5 linked regions of the Coturnix japonica genome follow. The protein of the gene in region 5 interacts with the protein of the main gene of each other region in a biochemical or structural test. Links are inferred from orthologs where the notes say so. Each region holds a gene or a part of one and is shown on either strand. Other genes may lie near its edges.

Region 1 (3,474 bases), on a different chromosome or scaffold from region 5:
CATCTGTTGTATGTCAGCTGGAGAGCAGAGTCTTTAGGCTGAGAGGGAGGAAAGAATGTGGGTAGGGTGTTAAAAACAGGAAGAAAGGCAAGATTGACATTGACATCTTGCCTTTCTAGTGCTGCAATTAATACATTGCTTCCTTATTCATACTCACTTCTAGTAGTTCATGTGGGGTCAAGCCGTAGCCCACTCCTTGTACCTCATGGAAGTTCGTTCTTATCCAGACAACAAGTCTGTGGAAAAGAAAGGCAGGGAACAACTGGCAGAAATTCCTTTCTGCTGCTTTTACTCCTGTGTGGGCCTGAACTCTTGTTTGTCAAAAGTGAAGTATTGTCCATGTGGATATCAGTCATTGTGAGGTATTAAAACCTGCAGAGTAGTTCCAAGACTTTGCCATTTAATCTACGTATTCTCACAAGAGATTAATTGTTGAAGCACCTTTGTGCGTTATTAATATCTGTTCATTTCTGCAGCTGTGTTTGCATTCAATATTGGCTCATCAGCTCTGAGACTGTCCAGGAGATGGGGAAAGATAAAAACAAGGGGACACAAACTGTTTATAACCTCCTTTAATGCATCAGGTTTTGGCCAGCAGCAGGAGGTAGTACACACTTTAACACTGTGCATGAATGTCTTTGGCAAGGAGATGCCTTTTCCAGGATAAAGCACTCATGTATTTGAATGTTTTCGAAGTGTTGAGATACTGTAGTCCTCATTTGGCAGGCACATATAATAACATCTATTAGTTGGCACCCTGGGTGGTAGGCCTAGTACTGAACATCACTTTTATAGCCTATATCACAACACTAGTGCAGGCTGCTCAGCAGAGAGCACAGAGATACAATGAGTGCCTTGGTGTCTCTCCCATAGAGATCCAGGCTGAGGAGCAGAATAGCACTTTCTGAACACAGAGTTCTTGGAACGATCACTTCGAATTAAATGAACAACGCTGTTTACAGTCCTGAGAGTGCCCTCTAGTGTAAGTGGGACCTTCGAGGATTCTGATCTATAGAGCAGAGCTGTTGTGTCTCTTACGAGAACCACGTCGTGCTAACTTAAGTGAAGGCACTGGCTGCTGTGCCAGGGTGGCAAACCCTTGTTTCAGCATTAATCCTGCACCTTGCTGGCTTATCATACAAGTTTTGGTGCCTGAAACAACTCATCAAGATGAGGCCATGAACTCAGTTACTAGTCATAGGAACATGACGTGGAGCTGTGTGCTGGCACTCATAGCAGTAATATATAATAGCACCTTTGATATGAGGTGTACACATGTTGTTGAGGAGTAAAGGCCGCAGGTTGGCTGTACGTGCAAAAAAGCCCAACGTGGCGGTGTGTCAGACGGGAACATCCCACCAACGACTCTCCATATCCCGGCATTTCGGCCGCATTACGGAGCCTGCGAGCACCGAAGCTCCGCCTCAGCGCTCGGTCGGAGCCACCCGCCGCCCCTCATCGCTTCCCGCCCCGCTGCTCCATTGGTGCCCGTGGCGGTGACGCGGTCGCTGCGCCGTCGCAGCCGGTTCCCGGTGCCTTTGGCGGAGGCGATGCCGAAGCGCTCGTGTCCCTTCGGGGACGCGGCCCCGCTGCAGCTGAAGACCCGCGTGGGGCTGAAGGAGCTGAGCCGCGGGGTGCGGGGCGACGAGTATCGCCGGGAGATCTACGGTGAGACGGGGAGGGGAGGAAAGGGCGGGTGAAGGGCCGCGGCCGCCCGTAACCCGCCTCTCGTGTCCGCCGGCAGAGCGCACCCGGCGGCTGCTGTTCAGGGCCGCTCAGAGCTGCACGGAGCCCGCCTGGCCCGCAGCGCCACGAGCCGCCAGCCGCTCCACGGAGCCGGAGTCGGGAGGGGGAAGCGTGGGACGGAGCCGGAGCGAGCAGCTGAGGATCGGGCCCAACGGGAAACTGCTGCGATGCACGGCCAACACGGAGAGCGGTGAGATGCGGTACCAAGCGGAGCTGACCAGCTCCTGCTGTTCTCTCTGTTTTCCTAGTTTCTTGATTGTATCTTTTCTAAGCAGTTCCTCCGGTGGGAGTTTCCAAAGCTTGCTCCTCATGTGTAAGAGCTGCTGATGTGAAGGAAGCGTGTGCACAGTGCGACCGGTTCGTGTGCCAGAGCTGCAGCAGGGTGTGCAGCTGCTGTAATGCCGTGACCTGCTCCCTGTGCTCCATCACTGAGTAAGTGCCTTTGGACTTCTTGGATTCTTGTCACTCCGTGCACCCTGACGACCTGCTGTAGTTTATGAAGCCTCAGCAGTCATCTAACTCATACATCCAATTGACTGAAACTCCTTGGATATTGAATTAGGAGCAATAAAACTGCGTGAAACGTGGGAAATGAAATGCCTGTGTGAAGCAGCTTAATCGATCTTAATGAAAGCCTAGTTCAGCTTTTCATTTATGTGCTCAAGGTGGCAATTATTCCTCTTGCTATTTCAACAGCAGTGTCCTATTCTGGCCAGTGACGAACAAATGCACTCCCAAGGAGTGACGTTAAGAGCTCCATGTTGTCATTAAGGGTGCTGTGATATAAAGAAGGTGTTGTGCTCGGAGTCATATGGAGGGTTATTAGAGTTAGGGTACTATGGTTGGGCTGCGGTTGGACTTGATGATCTTCAAGGTCTTTTCCAACCTGGGTAATTCTATGATTCTATGATTTGTGTTCCAAGAAAGGTGAATGCACTCTGACTTCTTGTTTTTCTTTCTTCTTTTTTCCCCCCCCTCCAGCTACGCTGATGTTGGTGAGCAAATTCTCTGCAATGGCTGTTCAATATTTCAAGTCTGAAAGCAGATGAAATAGCCTTTAGTGCTAAACTGCCTGTAAATTCCATGAAGGCTCCTCCTTACAGCTGGCCAGTTAATGCCTTTAACCCCTGAACCAATGATGGGATTTCTATGTTTTATATCTTTATATTGTACTTTTTAATATTGTAGTTAAATAAACTTTTATATTTTGAGGATTTCTGCGTTGTTTTGAGTTAGCTCTTGCTTTGCTCACGTTTGTGACACGTTTGGAATGGGCTGCTTTGTGCTCTTACCTGCTATTCCTTGTGCCACACAGAAGTCAGTCTCTCTCATTGCTCATATCAAGACACTCTTTGTGTGGATCGGAATAGAAATGGCGTGTTCCTTATGTGCTTCCAGGTGAGTGTAATCTATCCTGAACACAAAACATGCAGTGAACTAGTTAAGAGTAGTCAGCCATGCCTGAACTGACCTGCTCAGGACTGGCCTATGCATAGTTTGTGTGCTACGTTTGCTAGTCAGGAGATACCAAGAAACAGCATCACTGTAGGAATGTTTTAAGCCTGCTGGATTTGTGATGTACAGGTGATGCAGCCCAGTGTTGGCCCCCTGGTTTGGGAGGTGTGAATGTACCTGAGGCCTTTGGGTTAAAGGCTTGGACAACACTTTTCTCTCAGCTGTCCCGAAGTTGTTTTGTGTTACGTCCACACGGTGGCAGCATTAGCAAGA
Region 2 (3,513 bases), on a different chromosome or scaffold from region 5:
ACTACAGCATGACAAAGTTGAAAGCCATTATGCCTGAAGGAATAGCTCGTAACTGCTGAGCAGAGGGGGACCCCTTGTATCGGTCCGATGGAAGTTTCCTGCCCACATTTCTGTGCTTTGGCAGTCCTTCAAACACTGCCTGGGCTATGAAGGTTCATTTGTTCTGTAAAGCAACTTCCTAAACCAGATCTCTGCGAAACAGCGTGAGACAGAACAGAAAGCCTTTGAAGCAGCAGCTCCGGGAAAGCAGAACGGTTGTTCAGCCCTGAAATGGGAACAGCCTGCAACAGCTCTGCTACATGCAAAAATGCAGTTAGCCAACGGAGTGGTAGAGGGTGTGGAGCAGAGATTGCTTCATCTTAATTAAAAACAAAGCAAAAAAAGCCTGTCTTACTGCAGACATGAACTGCTTTTTTTAAGAGGAACAGGAGGCACAAAAATCAAGTTTTCGAGGAATTTAATCCTGGTTTCTCTCTGCACAAACATTTGGAAAACACTAACGTTTGTGTATTGAGATCATTATGAGCTGCAGTACTAAGGCAAACTTTTCAGTCATATCCCTTCCAATCTTGAAGCTAAACCACTCCGTATCTGTCCCACTGGATCCCCTCTGTCTGTTACTGCCATCTGATTAAACTCCTCCTTCTACAGATCAAACCAGCACAGTTAATTCAATTGTTACGTGTGCAAAAGGGAAGCATTGCTTTGACTTCAACATTCACAGACAATATTTTTGAAACCCTCTTGTTTCCTGATTTCACAAAGAGGCTGCAGCAATCGCTGTGTGTCTGACGGATGGACTATGGATGCACCCACACACACGTGGAAAGCTAATGCAACTGTAAAACTCTGCTCGCCATCCCAAGTGAAGAAGCAACATCAGAGCCACCTCCCCCTCTATTCAAGTTTTGAAACTCTGCCCCATCACTGTTTTGGAAGCATCAAAATGCTCTTAAATTCATTTTAATGCCCACCACCCTCCAATACTTACACGTTAGTGTGAAGCTGGAACTCATCAGTCTTATAGCCGACAGCAAAATTGCTCTGGGTTACTCTCGACTTTGCTGTCTCAAAAGTCATTTGGTAACCTGCCAACCAGCCCTCGTAGCCAAGCACCAGGGCTCCACGTATCGAAGGACCGGCGATATCAAAATCCATGTCGCAGCCCAGGTTGATGTGTTCCCTTTTGTATCCTGTCTTAATCTTAGCACTCTTTTTCCTAAAGCAAAGAGAAAGAATCTCACATCCTTGAACTGGCACTCTCAGGTGGCAATTCAATCAAATCAGTTACTTTAACTCTGTGTAACAGATTTTGAAGACAAAGTATCCGTGTTTGCAGAGTCAAATGATACATCGCCTTCTTAAATTCCAGAGTTGTGAGACTTTCATTCACCTACAAAGAAGTGCACGCAATCACATGCAGTGCGGTGCTTTTCTAAGCCCTTCTGAGCTGCATCCTGCTGAGCAACAGCACAGTGTGCCAGATTTGAAGTGACAAAAGCCAATCCTCACCACAGTCTGATTTCTCAGTAGTTTAGGAGTGACAAGGGAATAACAGAAACCAACAGTTTACAGGTTTGCCAACGACCAAAGCAGTTCACCTTTCGTCCCAGACAAACAGCTTTTAGGCAATCCTGGTTACTGCGTAACTTCATTTACTCTGCCAGACAACAGCAAAACACTTTTTTGCCTCCAGCTTCCCAGGGGAAGGTCTGAGCTGCTAAGGAAGCAGGTGCTGCAGCCCCCTTTCCTCCCTATGATGCATTACAGCACTGCGTGCTTACAGCAGTAACAAAGGCTAATTGCAGAAACAAACTTTCTCAAGTCACTTCCTTCTTTTGCCCTTCCTGACCTCTTGGCCAGGATCATTTACCAAATCATTTACTGAAATCCTACCAGAAAAGTAAGGCTGATAGGAAATTTCTAATCAACTGCCCACTTCAGCCAGCAGAAAGAGTCCCCATGATCTGCAAAACATGCTGTATCAGACCTGCATAGAGATTGCTCTCTATTATTATTATTTCTAACTCAGGAATTTATGACGAGCAGGAGTCCCGGAAATGCCAGCATTAACCTGCCTGCAATTACTGCAGAAGCTGAGAAATGATTATTAACAAAAACTGGAGACTATTCTGCTTGACAAATGCAAAAATATGCGGTTAATTCAGAGTAAAGAATGGGCAGCAAGCAGTTGGCAGCGGGGAACGTGACATTTCAGGCAGGATGAAGCCTCCATTGGGACTAGAAGCACTGCAGCACGCTGCTCTGAGCAGCTCAGAGCGGAGCATTTTGGCTCAGTGGCAACACTGATTGCAAAAAGATAATCAAGAGGGGACAGAAAATAAACCAGCATACAGCCCTACAGCTGCTGCTTAATCCCTCTGGCCCACATAACCGTGACATCCAATCGCAGGGTGCAGCACCACGGCACTGTGCGGCCAGCAGGAACTCAAGATGACAAATTCAGCTTGGGAAAAGAGCCCAATTACTGTGCCGACCTATTAGAGCCACAGCCAACTGGCTTGTGGAGCTTGTTAAGCTTTGCATTACAGCTGATTTGTCTGGCATTTTTATTCAGGCAGGAACGAAGTGCTCATTTTCTGACATGGCCAGAAGTAAAGCAGAAACAAAACATTTCCTTCTGATTCTGGCCATAATTTCCAAGTTAGTGCATTTCAAAGTTCGGTTTAGAGAGCAATTGTTCATTTTAAGAGTGAAGTCAAACAGACACGATTTCATTGTGCATAGGCAGAGCATTAAATGTCTCGATGTCTTTGGACAACAGAAGGAGTAAGGAAGACAGTATTTTGGGAAACTAAAACAGAACCAGAAAAAGCTTTTTTGTGTGCATGTGTGTCTCTCTGAAGCTTACTGACATCTTACCCAGTGTTAGGTGAGAAGGAGGAGTCAAAAGTCAGCTTCAGGCCACGTGCAAGCTGAACAGAAAAGAAATTCACTGGTTGGATTTCTAGTCAGACACTGTCACAAGTGAATCTGGAAGCTGCATGTTTGAAGCCCAGAGTTACCTGGTCTTCAAGAGTGATCTCAGTTCCCAGCGTGTTGTCAGTGTTCCACTTCTCTGTGAACATCAGCCCATATTCCACCCATCGGTATTTGGTTTCCAAGCTCCCACTGACTTTGCTTGTTTCCGAGTTTGCTGAACCTGAGCTTGTAAATTCCTGAAGAGGAAAAAGAAAATGATATGTATCACTCTGTTGCTTGTACTCATGTGATGACTGATCTTCATAGAATTATTATTTGTTGTAATTTGGGACAATAAGATCTGCATCTTTCTCAAAGGTGCTCAGAAGAACACACAGCACATCCCTGCAGAGCCTGCTCCAAATCCTGCGCAGAGCTGCACCATAAAGGCATGGCAGCCTGCAGGGCTATAGTATAACTGAAAGCTGATATGGGGAGATCAAGGAAGACACACTTCTATTTTTAAAAAGGAATACAGGGCAGACATAGGAACACTGCCGTGTTTGGGATTTCAGTCCCTGCCCACACTTA
Region 3 (4,030 bases), on a different chromosome or scaffold from region 5:
CGTACAGAATGAATAAAGATTGCGGCTGCTTTCCTGTACTGACTGTAACAATCTGTCTTATGATTTCTTCACAGGGAGGCGGCTGCCTTCCTTGAAAAAATGGCGATCCAAAGAAAATTTGATCTTTGACTCAGATTCGACGTTATGGTCTCTTGATAAGTTATTTTGCTACTCAGAAAAACACACAGAGGAGCTGTATTGTCATCAAAAACTTCTTTTCAGTGTTGGAAGAAACCTTCCACACAACATACATCATACCTCAGTATTTCTGTACTATACATTTGTATTAATTATCTAATGGTATACTAAATTATGTTCCCCTCTGTAATTCAAGAAGTGTTTCCTGTACCATCAGAAAAGAGAGTGCTTTCTCTTCTGCTTAATATGAACTATTTCCATCATGTTTTGAGCATTTTTTCATGCTACTCTTTGAGCCTAAAGAAGTAGCATTCACTTAACAGGTCTGTGAAACACTCCTCTCATACAAAGGGGTACGCATATTTTATATATATGTAATATATATCTATGCAAATATATACATATATATAATATATAGACTATAACTATGCAATATCACATTAATTCACAGAATTGCATTTTTTTTTTATCCCCAAAGCCACTTGCTACAACAAATAACCTTTATATTAAAGCAGTGGTTTTAATGAACAAATGAGATATCCCCAACACCACCACTTCCCCATCCAGCAGAATCCGAGCTGTAGAAGATAAGGGCAGTCAGAACCTGAACGCCGGCTTTCACCTTGTTGACTCATGCCCACGTTCCACAACTTCTTTCTTTGCTTCGGAACCTTTCTGTCCGCAGTTCCTGGCTGGGATGTGGGATGCGAAGGCAACAGGGGAGGTGGGGTTGTCACAGGGTTCCCCAGCCCCAAGAAGAACAAGTTCCAACCTGCCCCTCACTACGTAGCGAGGGGCCGGTGCTCATTGCCTCCATTTTTTCCCCCAACTTAGCATCCATAAAGCAATAACGTTGTAACACTTCCCAAAGAAATCACATGGTGACAGCCATCCCTCGGCGTCTGCAGGTAGCAAAACACAAATCAAAGAGCTTTTTTTTTTTTTCCCCTCCATCTCCCAGTGTAAGTGAAATCTCTCGTTCCAGATCTGCAAAGTCGAAATCTTCCCCCTTTCTTTCTCAGCGCTGCGGGGGCGGCGGATCACGTCTTGGGGCAGAAGAGTTTAGTGATGAGGTTCAGGATCTTCTGCCTGAGGTCCGCCTTGTCGCCGATCCTGCGCAGCTCCACGGCGCACTCAGCCACCGCGTCCCTCTCTGCAAGGCACGCGCAGGGAGGTGGGGATTTAATTCGAGCGAGGTCTATTCCAGGTAGCGGCACAGGGGAAAGCAAGAAGAATATCAAGTAGAAAAAGGAAGAGGAAAAAGGAAAAGCGTGTTTTTTTCCAGCATCAAACTCTCCCCCGCAATAAAAACACCTGAGACCTGTCTCCTTTCTCCTCGCCCTACCTGCAGGCTCGGCGGGTGGAGCAGGTTTGCGTATCGTCCTGCCGGGCATCATCGCGGCAACAGCTCGGCTCGGTTCGGCTCGGCGCAGTCCGGATCCACACGGCTCGGCGGCGGCGGGACACTGCGGGCAGGCGGGGCGATGCGCGCCCTAAAAGCGGAGCGCGGCGGGGTTTTCCCTCGTAGTGACGTCAGGAACAGTGCGGGAATCCCTCCCCCACCGTGGCGGGAGCGTGTCGGAGCGAGCCCGGACCGGTGGAGGAACGCAGAAATAAAGCGGGGTGCGGGGCGTGATGAGGGGGAGGGGATGGGTGTGCGGGATGGGGGGGTGTACTTGTGTTAAAACAGTGTAAGGATGCGCAGTGTATGGGAGGTAGAAGGATGCTGACCTACACCTGCAGCTCAGGGTTCTACCCTGCTGCTGGACCCGCACGCAGTGCCCAGGCAGCTCTGGCAGCTCACCTGCAAGTCCAGGTTGTGCTACACGGAAGCAAAGCTGAAATTGCCGCATGGCCCTCGTGACTTTTGTGATCGTAGCATAGTTTTGGGAGAGCTGCCAGAGCTCCGCCAGTGAGTCATCTGTCTGCAGGAAAGTTTGGTGTGATGGCTGTTTGTGTTTACCTGAAAACGAAAACAGGTGGACAGAAAGAGAGCAAGAAGGGTCAGACGTAACAAAGAGCTGATCTGAGGCTGGGTGCAATGTATACCCACCTTTCCCATTGCAACGCAGCTACAAGCAGGAAAAGACACTGCAATTGGGAGGTCAGGAAGTGCTTTCCTGTGGGATCAGAGCCTCTGGGACAAGTGTCTACAAAGCTGATTGCTGTCTGTTGGAAGAGGAAACTTCACCAGCTCAGTTCAGAGCTCCTTTTCCCTGCGTGTCTCAGGGTGCCTTGCTGGAATCCACAGCCGGGTGTGGATATTGCACAGCTGAGGCTGCAGCACAGTGAGGTGCACCGGGCAGGCACTGTGTCAGGGCCCTCTGGCACTTTCTTTTATCTGTCCTCGTCTCTCAGCTTATGATATAATACCTACATGGTATACAGGCTTATTGGCTAGATGTGATGTTTTTAGGGTCATTTCACATCCATACCAGCACATGTGTTTGTAATGCAGGCCCATACTGAGAAAGGTGCCCTTTGGCCTTTGATTCCTGTTATGGGAGAAACTCTCTCTCCAAACAGGTCTGTTGGGTTTAGGTGGCAGGGAGGCAGCAAATAGCCCTGGGGTGCATTGTCCATGTGGCGGGTGTCCCTTGGCTGCCCACAAGTGTGCACTGCCCACAACCCCATGAACAGCAGTGCTCAGCAGCTTCAGCAGGGAACAGGGACACATCAGCCCTCTTGTTGTCCTCCCCACAGAACAAAAACTGAGGAGAAGGAACGGAGGAGCAAAGCATGAGAAAGGAGAATTGCTGCAAGCATTTATTTAGCTCATTTAAGTGGAGCCAGAAACAATTTGAGAGAGATCTACTACTCAGGCATAAAAACCAGTGCCCCTCAATCTTGATATATCATAGGATCACTGAATTAATTGAACAGAATGGGACCTCAAATCTGCCCCAGCCTCAACCCAGCCCCTGCCATGGGCTGGCTGTCCCCACTAGTTCAGGCTGCTCAGGGCCTCATCCAACCCAGCTCTGAGCACCTCCAGGGATGGGGCACCACAGCTGCTCTGGAAAGTCTGTGCCAGGACCTCACTGACCTGAGTCAAGAATTTCTCCCTAATATCTACTCTAAATCTAAAATCTCCCCTCTTTTAGTTTTAAGGAGGACCTTGTCCTATCAACTGTCAGACTGCATAAAAAGTCTTCTGCTTATAATCTCCCTTCAAGTACTGTCAGGTCGCAGCGAGATGTCCCTGCAGTCTACTCTTCTCCAGGCTGTCAAGATCAGCTCTCTCAGCCTTTCTTCATAGAACAGCTGCTCCATCCTCTGAGCATCTGCCCAGCTTAGAAAGACTCCCTTGCCAAAACGGGGAACAGCCTTTAAAGGTAGCTCATCCTACTGCCCCTGCAGCAGCACCAAGAGACGGTCTCTCTTCTTTTGGAGATACTTCCACCTGCCAGGGCAGCAGTGCACAGATCAGTGGACTAGCTGATTGGCAAGGTTCATTTATTTCTTTTTGTTACTTGAGAACAGTTGTAGGGCAAAAAGAAGAATGGGAGTCTTCAGTGTGCAAATTGGGTTTACGGGCCAGGGCACCTGCAGTGCTCACCTCTGCATGCCCTGCTGCTGCAGCCCTCCTATGTGCAGGGCAGAGAGCCCACTGCCACAGGAGGAGCTTGCTGGATGCTGGTGGGCAATGAGGCTGTGGCTGTGGGGCCACTCTTTGCCTTGCTCAATGTGGCAGGGTGAAAAATAACCTGCTGTGGTTACAGGCTGCCAGTGAGCTCTGACACTGTTGGTTTCAGTTCCTCTAAACAAAGCAGCATGGCTGTGGGAAGAGCAGCACCCCAGGAGGCTGCTCCTTAGAGTGGTCTTGAAAGCTGTGGGGCCATGGGCATAGCCTGGGGGAAAATGGGTAGGAACAGAGTTAAGCAGCCCTGGA
Region 4 (3,513 bases), on a different chromosome or scaffold from region 5:
GGGATGGGGTTAGATTGTGCGTGCAGCTGAGTCCAATGACAACTCAGTGACGTCAACCTCAGCAGCAATTGCCTGTTTAGTTCCCTCTCACAGCCAGGGAACGACCAACAGCCTTTGTGTCAACACAGCTCTGCTGCTGCAGGAGTAACATGAGCGCTATACCTGAACTGCTGGAGTGTCTCACAGAACTCAAGAGCCAAGTGAGGGCAACTCTTGAGCTGGCCACATGAATTACTCCAACACTGAAAGTCTCTCCTAACTCCTGCTGAATGAGAGCATGTTTTTTTCTTTTCACAAGTTCCCAGATAAGATGTTTTATAGTCCCCAAGAAGAGGCACAGCTTGCTGAAAACCAGACATGCTCTTTCTCAGGACTTCACAAGACCACAGTGGTGTGACTAACTCTGTGGTTTTCTAAATCTGATTCTAGACATCACTTTGGGAAGCTGATTATGACTGGCACTTTGAGACAGGTTGGAATGGGGCATCCAAATCTGTGTTCAGTTTTGCAGCAAGCCAGATGACAGCCTGGTTTTCCATGTCCCAGACTGCCCCACAACACATTGTCAAGCCAGTCCATGCCTCTCCAGATTCAGACTGTTCAGTTCCTCAGTGGCAGGCTGCAAAAAGTCACTGCACACAGGACATAGGGGCTGCATGAAGCCATGCCAAAAGCCATAGGAAATCCTCCATGCAGGGCTTGGAGGGGACTGGACATGTCAACAAAACACTCCATGGGGAACAGTGCCTCAGACACTACGATGTGGCTCAGCAAGAAGTTCCCCTGACAAACGAGAAAGAATCCCCCAGCAGATACGAATGCCAAAGCCTGTCCCAGGGTCGGGCTGTGGAGAACCACTGGCTGAACTATTCCATCCTCGGTTACGTTTCTGGATTTCTTCGGTTTTGTTTTCAAACGTAAATGGCTGAACAGCTCCCCCCCTTTACAACTTGTTGCTCTTCCAGTCCAAACAAAGACGGCAGAGCTCCTCCTCCGCTGGCTGCAGGATTGGGTAGTGCAGGCGGACGCCTTTGTTTACTAACTCTCCCACATGCTTGGCCGGCACGCACTGGGGCTGGCCGGGCAGCCCGAGCCGCAGCCCTGCGTACAGCGCAGGAGGCTGGCAGCTCCCCGCGGCCAAAGGCAGCAAAAGCCAGAGCAGGGGCAGCTTCAGAGCGCTGCTTTGGGTGGGCATTCTTGGATGCGTTTCCAAGGCATAGATATGAGTTTAGTCCCCGAGATGCAAGGGGTCAAGTTACAACCAGTTCCACCACTTTACTCCAGGGCTCCTCCACTCTGGAGACATTCGCCTTCCTTTTACTGAGACAATCTGGCTGTAGATAGCTATTGCGATGAAAAGGTGTCGCTGGGGAAAACCCCGTTCAACCAGCAACACATGCTAAAAAGCTTGAGGTTGTTCATCGTTTTCTGTGATTTGCAAAATGACATTCATAGCCCAATTCACCTTTCTATCTTCCTGTTACAGCTTTAACATCCCCTTAAGAAGAGTCCTGTTTCCCTCTTTCTTATCACAGAGACAACTAAAACTTTGCCCTCCTACAAGCCACATCCTCTGATCAGGGCAGAGCTCCTCACTTACCTTTGAAAAGAATTGAAACAGACTTCAAGTTAACAACACCAACACATTTGGAATGAGATAAGCTTTTGAAGTCACTCTCTGAAGTCAGCAAGAGTGTCAACTTCTTCATATGCACAGTTGGATACAAACTGCAACACCCTGCTGGACTTGCATACAAGTAGTAAAGTGCTGCCGAACTCTGGCCACCGATCTCTGCATGGCTGGGATGTCTACTTGTTTACCATTCAGTAGGGGAAGGAAGGGAGAATGGAGAAAGGATCTACATTTTTAAGGGACATGGCTTTTGTTTCTTTAAAAAACAGCAAAGTACTTTTTTTTCTTTTTTCTTTTCTTTTTTTTTAAAGAAAAGTAAAACAAGATTCTGTTTTTCAGACCTGATGGCATTTTACAGCTCTATTATGTTGTGAGGAAGTTGGTCACAAATCTGAGACACCAGCTAGGACTGTCCCACAGAGGAGCTGCTAGCAAGTCCAGCATGATCATAGTGCACTCTATTACTTGAGACATCTATCCCTAGACAACAAGGAGTGCCAAAACAGACTCTAGGCTTGTTGTCATCTCCAAAATGAGGAACTGACACAAGTCACAGACAACCAGCTGTACCACAGAAGACGTGATGATGGAGGTAAGGAGAGCGGAGAAGAAAAGTAAAATGCTAGGGAAAGCATCAGTGACCCTGTTGCTGATGAACCAGGAGAGCCAGAATAGCAGACAACAGCAGCTACCCTCCCAGACAATAAGTGCAGTTCTATACATGCTCTTCCCCCTACCTGCCAGTCTTTTACAGTGATCCATCAATCTAGCATGAGCAAAATACATAGGTATACCATGCTGTTTTGTCACTACTGGCAGCTCGTGGCTGCCTTAGGCAACAGCCTGCTTAGCTGAAGCCTGGAGCCAATCTTCTGGAGCACCACTCTTGGATAAGAAAGACCCCACCATCCCCTCTGGAAACACCCTACCCGCTGTATGTGGAGCCGGTGGAACTGGTCTGCAATGCACTGCAATTTCCGTGCAATCTGCACCTCAGTACGTGCCTCCCGCTGACCTTCCTGAGGCTCTTCTTGGAGATTTGGATCCAAAGCAAAGCCAACTGGAGGGACATGTAAGCGGTAACCAGCATTCCCTACAAAACAAAGACCAGCAGAGTCATTCTCCTAGCACAAAGAGTAGTTCTTTTATTCAGTATTACACTTCAGGCATACAGAAAGAGTTGCACATAATCCTGATTTTTTGACTCATTTTAAAGTCCAGTTTCTAAAGCCCAAGCAATGACCACATACACCATATGCATGCAGTACAGATTTAATTTGCTCAGCTTAAATTAGATTTATAACAATTAAGCATAACATTGTGTTGCTTCCCCTAATCAAATGACTGGATCTTCAACTTGGTTCTTTCTGCTTGTTTATGGTTCAGACGAGTGCAGAGGTGTTCGTTTTTCTTTAATGACAGTTTTACATCTCTTCCAACATCATTGCCTTAAGTTGTCCCCCTTTAAGGTTTTCTGTATGTGCTATGCCTTCAGACTTTTCTCAGTTGTTTTCTTGGGTGTTCAGTGGGACTGACTTGAATTAAGGTTGGACTGAGTACACAATACTGAATGATGTCCCATCAGTTACCAGTAAAGTGCTACTTATTCAACATGCTTAATTCCAGTAAAGAGCCTAAAGTCTGTCCCATTAGGTGGGAATTTTTTGCATTTTCTTCTCTTCATTGCAAACTTTCAGGAGGTTTTCTTATGTGGATGAGTAGCACAAGAGGTTTTTTTTTTTTAAAAAAAAAAAAAAGCAGGTAAATGGTAGGCTATGGCGGATGGTGAACATTTTAATGCCTGGCAGCAAAATAAAGTGACAGAATAAAGTGAAAAAGAAAAAAAAGTAGACGTATCAAGTACAGCAAAAGCAACCAGC
Region 5 (4,249 bases):
AAACATGCTTTTGTACAGCACAGAACCAGCAGTGAATTCATCACCCTATAACCACAGCACAGAGCTATGCTACCACCCCATCATATAACACTGGGATTGAAGCAGTGAAGCCACACACATCACCCAGAGGGGAACGAGGTGCCAGCAGCCTTTGCCCTAAAGCTCCCCTTAATCTGTCCCCTGTCCAAGGGCTCAAAATAGAGCCCGGCCACCTCACACTCCGTAAATGAGATCCCACGGGTTCTAAGTGATACAGAGACAGGCACGGGCCTAAGAATAGCAGCCCAAGGAACCGGCTGGGTTATTTATAGGCAGGTAACCTCTGCTTATTATTAGATAAACTGACGTTCAAGCAACACAAAGAGCAGTATAACCATAGCCAATGTGACAGCAATGGCCTCACCAAGGGGCACCAATGGCCTCATCCTGACCCTTTTACTTCAATACCGAAGCATCAAATCCCTTTTCTCCCCCATTTCAGACACTGCTTTCTCCCCTTCCCCCCTCAGAGCCGTTCACAGCGTCAGGCTGCGGCCTACCCCCAACAAGCGGACAAAGGGGCCCAAAGCAGAACAGCAGCCCGTGCTGCCGGTACCGAGGCACACTCATGAAGCGGGGACAACACCAGGAAGGGCTGTGTGCGGCTGTGGGCAGCCCCGGTTGCCGTTGATTCCCGGTGTCCCCCCCCGTTCCTCACTCACCTCAGCGCCGCAGCCGCCGAGCGCGGGGCTTCTGCCCGCCGCCGTTAGAGGATTTCAAACGGGACTCGTCTTGTCCGAATGGACCAATCAACGCTCAGCTCACGCCCTCGTTGCGTGTTGATTGGACGGGCTGTCCAGACGTTAAAGAACCCGGATGAGCGCTCCCGCCCCTCCCGCGGGGGATGATGGGAAATGTAGGATTCGAACGGAAGGAACCGAAGCCTCAGCACCAGAAACAAACTGCTACTCCCATCATGCACAGGGAGAGAAAGGCTTCGACCAATCAGGGGAGGCGGGGCTCTGAAACAGCCAATCAGCTGCAGGGAGGCGGGTCTACCAGGCAGGGCCGGTTCCGCCCGTGTCTGCCCTCTGCCGAGTCTGCTCCTTGTTACCAACAGGTCAAGTCACCCGATTACAGCAGCCATAAGGATCCCCCCGCCCAGCCCCTCACTAACCTCACACCGCCCTCTATGGCCATGGATTCAAGCAGCCGCCTCATCCAGCCCTATGGCCACACCGGCCTTTCCCCGGCTGCAGCTCAGCTCCGAGTCACAGCCCCGAGTGCTGCGGGAACACAACGCACCTGCGGGCGGGGCAGCCGCCAGGGGGCGCTCGAGTCCAACCGGCCTCCTTGTCGCTGCGCATGCGCACTGCCACGGCCGCACAACGCACGCAGGCGCATGCGCACCGCACCTCAGACCGGCGGCGCCGCACGCATGCGCGCTGCCCCCTCCCTCCCTCCCGCCCCCCCCGGCTCGGCCCAGCAGCGCAATGTCCGCTCGGTGCTGATGCGGCGGGACACCGGGCACTGCTGACAGGCCCGACGGCCGGCTGGGCTCCCGGCCGAGCCCTGCGTCGTCACCGGTTGGGCCCATAGAGCGGGATCGGTCACAGCCCGGACCATCCACCGACCGCTGAGGTGAGGGGCGGAGCGGGGCAGGCCGTGAGTGACGGGCGGTTCCACCAATCAAAGCAGGCCGTTCTCTAGCTCCGCCCTCTCGGAGCTGTGGCGGCCGGTGATTGGCTGATGGCGAGGGGCGGGCTGTGTGCCCTATGGCGGCCCTCGTGTGCGGGCCCCGTGAGTGGGGACGGCGGCCGAGAGGGGCCATGGGAGCGGGTACGGCCTACAGCAACACCGGTACGAGGGGACCGGAGTGACGGCACTAAGGAAGCCGGGCTGTACGGCGAGACCCTGCCATAGTACCGGGGGGGAGCTCTTTGTTCAGCCGCCCTGTGGGTGCAGCACCCCGGGCTCTGCATCCTGCTGCCCCCAGCTCAGTGCTCCATGCATTGCATTGTATTGCATTGCATTGCATTGCATTACATTGCATTGCATTGTATTGTATTGCATTGCATTGTATTGTATTGTACTGCATTGTATTGCATTGCATTGCCCTGCAGCCCTTACCTGTGCCCCAGTCCTGCCCCACACTCTGACTCACCGCCAGGCTTTGGCACGAAAACCTTACAAAGAAACGCCAATTACTCAGAGCTCAACGCCGCCAGCAGAGGAGCGGCCCCTGCTTCCTTCATACATCAGAACGCTTCGTTATCTGCCTTTTGGAGAAGGAAAAGGCTCCACAACAGTGGGACCTCCCAGGGGCTGGCAGGGCTGGGGGCACCAGGAGGGCACGGAGCCTTGGCACTGAATAGGAGGGAGGGTAGGAGGGGTGGAGTGGGATGAGAGCACAGTGGGAGGGCTGGGGAGTTGCCTCCTCTCAGCGTCAAATTACTTTAATCCAACACCCTCAGCCAGAAGGAACGAGCTGCTGTTTCCCAGCCCGAGCTGCTATTTCCCAGGCTTTTCTCTGCCCTTTTTCTCAGGGTTGGGGTGTGGGTGAGTATAGAACAGTGACTCTGTGCTTTGTGCAGCCCTGCCTGCCCGCTGCTATGGGGCTTCGGGAGGAGCAGCCCCTCCGTGCTTTCCTTGCAGCCCCCAGGGTGGGGGGAATGCATTGCATGAAGGCTGCTGGGGTGCATGCAGGGACTGTAATACCTCGTGGGGAGGAGGGGCTGTGCAGAGGAAACAGCATTCAAACGACTGCAGGGACCTCAGTTTAAATAACATTACAAACAAACACCCTTTATTTCATCTGTGGTTTCATCTGCGTGTAGTTGCTGGAAGTCTTTAGAAGACTTCTCCTGGGGTTGTTCCTGTTCCTACCTTATTTCCAGGCCTGCTCCTCATACCGTGATACTGCACTGAGCCCTGCCATTCCCTTCTCCTCCAAAGGAGACCCCCGCACCTCTTACCTGCTGCTTTTAAAGGACACTTGGAGCCTTTCTCCCTCCCGTTCCCCCACGCTGGGGGCCGTTCCGAGGGACACGGGGCCGGGCCGAGCCACCGGGGATGGGAACGGGAAGCGGAGCCCGTAACCCAGCTCGGACACCGTCGGTCCCGCTGGGCAATGCCGGCGGGGGGCGCGGCCGGGCCCTTTAACGGGAGGGGCCGGGCGGGGGCGGTGCTGCCTCCGCCTCCGTGTCTCTCCGGGACTGACGGAGCGGAGCGGGGCCGGGCCGCCCGCAGCACCCGCAGCTCTCAGCCTCCGCCCGGCGAGCCCCGGCTCTGCCTGAGCCCGGTGAGCCCCGGGGCTGCGGGAGGGCTGAGGGTGACCCCGAGGGGGGATCCCCGTTCCGTGTGCGGCGGCGGTTCCGAGCGAAGCTGGGTGATGAGCTCAGTGTAACGTTAAGCTATTGATGTGCACGGCGCAGCAAGCTGTCGTGTTAACCGTTTCCTTGCCTCTCTTTTCCTCTCTGTGTGTCTGTGCAAAGGTCGGATGTGTTCGCCGGTGGTGAGGGAGCGTGGAGCCGGGAGCTGCTAAGTGTGCTTATCTGCTCGTGCACTGGACCATGGACTCATTGAGGGCGTTCCAGGTGTGAAAATGTCCGGCAGTAACCGGGACTTAGTGATTGACTTTGTTTCCTACAAGCTCTCGCAGAAGGGGCACTGCTGGAGCGAGCTGGAGGAAGAGGATGAGAACAGGACTGACACTGCGGCAGAGGCAGAGATGGACAGCGTCCTCAACGGGAGCCCATCGTGGCACCCGCCTGCCGGCCACGTAGTGAATGGAGCCACCGTGCACCGGAGCAGCATGGAAGTTCATGAAATCGTCGGAGCATCTGACGTGAGGCAGGCGCTGAGAGAAGCAGGGGATGAGTTTGAGCTGAGGTACAGGAGGGCTTTCAGCGACCTCACCTCCCAGCTCCACATCACCCCTGGCACGGCGTACCAGAGCTTCGAGCAGGTAGTCAATGAACTCTTCCACGATGGTGTGAACTGGGGGCGCATTGTGGCTTTCTTCTCCTTCGGAGGGGCTCTGTGCGTGGAGAGCGTGGACAAGGAGATGCGGGTACTGGTGGGACGCATTGTGTCTTGGATGACCACGTACTTGACCGACCATCTAGATCCCTGGATCCAGGAGAATGGCGGCTGGGTAAGAACTGCTCTCCCATAGGGATGGCTCCCTGCATCCTAGCTCAAGGCCAGATCAAGCTGCCTGCAGTGATTGTGCTTGTGCTCGGTCTAGACCTTGCAGGGCAAGAATTTG

Evidence for each region.
Region 1: the proteins of BCL2L1 (region 5) and SIVA1 form a complex in vitro, tested with the Homo sapiens proteins (2 studies listed by BioGRID and IntAct). The link is inferred for Coturnix japonica from reciprocal best matches to the Homo sapiens genes BCL2L1 and SIVA1.
Region 2: the proteins of BCL2L1 (region 5) and VDAC1 form a complex in vitro, tested with the Homo sapiens proteins (4 studies listed by BioGRID). The link is inferred for Coturnix japonica from reciprocal best matches to the Homo sapiens genes BCL2L1 and VDAC1.
Region 3: the proteins of BCL2L1 (region 5) and PMAIP1 interact in a biophysical measurement, tested with the Homo sapiens proteins (3 studies listed by BioGRID and IntAct, with this or other methods). The link is inferred for Coturnix japonica from reciprocal best matches to the Homo sapiens genes BCL2L1 and PMAIP1.
Region 4: the proteins of BCL2L1 (region 5) and BMF interact in a test that uses a peptide from one of them, tested with the Homo sapiens proteins (2 studies listed by BioGRID). The link is inferred for Coturnix japonica from reciprocal best matches to the Homo sapiens genes BCL2L1 and BMF.

What each region holds. Positions count from the first base shown.
Region 1 is NC_029520.1:46,911,701-46,915,174, forward strand, and holds SIVA1 (apoptosis regulatory protein Siva), read left to right. Parts: upstream 1-1,162; 5' UTR 1,163-1,550; coding exon 1,551-1,668; intron 1,669-1,744; coding exon 1,745-1,936; intron 1,937-2,021; coding exon 2,022-2,178; intron 2,179-2,727; coding exon 2,728-2,785; 3' UTR 2,786-2,965; downstream 2,966-3,474. UniProt on the Homo sapiens protein: Induces CD27-mediated apoptosis. Inhibits BCL2L1 isoform Bcl-x(L) anti-apoptotic activity. Inhibits activation of NF-kappa-B and promotes T-cell receptor-mediated apoptosis.
Region 2 is NC_029528.1:2,133,951-2,137,463, forward strand, and holds part of VDAC1 (voltage-dependent anion-selective channel protein 1), read right to left. Parts: intron 3,180-3,513; coding exon 3,027-3,179; intron 2,937-3,026; coding exon 2,884-2,936; intron 1,220-2,883; coding exon 992-1,219; intron 1-991. UniProt on the Homo sapiens protein: Non-selective voltage-gated ion channel that mediates the transport of anions and cations through the mitochondrion outer membrane and plasma membrane.
Region 3 is NC_029547.1:8,679,714-8,683,743, reverse strand, and holds the start of PMAIP1 (phorbol-12-myristate-13-acetate-induced protein 1), read right to left. Parts: upstream 2,802-4,030; 5' UTR 1,536-2,801; coding exon 1,484-1,535; intron 1,337-1,483; coding exon 1,179-1,336; 3' UTR 1-1,178. UniProt on the Homo sapiens protein: Promotes activation of caspases and apoptosis. Promotes mitochondrial membrane changes and efflux of apoptogenic proteins from the mitochondria. Contributes to p53/TP53-dependent apoptosis after radiation exposure. Promotes proteasomal degradation of MCL1.
Region 4 is NC_029520.1:27,123,338-27,126,850, forward strand, and holds part of BMF (bcl-2-modifying factor), read right to left. Parts: intron 2,727-3,513; coding exon 2,563-2,726; intron 1,788-2,562; exon of another isoform or gene 1,487-1,787; intron 1-1,486. UniProt on the Homo sapiens protein: May play a role in apoptosis. Isoform 1 seems to be the main initiator.
Region 5 is NC_029535.1:9,011,375-9,015,623, forward strand, and holds the start of BCL2L1 (bcl-2-like protein 1), read left to right. Parts: upstream 1-1,448; 5' UTR 1,449-1,620; intron 1,621-2,413; exon of another isoform or gene 2,414-2,538; intron 2,539-2,954; exon of another isoform or gene 2,955-3,084; intron 3,085-3,162; exon of another isoform or gene 3,163-3,280; intron 3,281-3,473; 5' UTR 3,474-3,583; coding exon 3,584-4,135; intron 4,136-4,249. UniProt on the Homo sapiens protein: Potent inhibitor of cell death. Inhibits activation of caspases. Appears to regulate cell death by blocking the voltage-dependent anion channel (VDAC) by binding to it and preventing the release of the caspase activator, CYC1, from the mitochondrial membrane.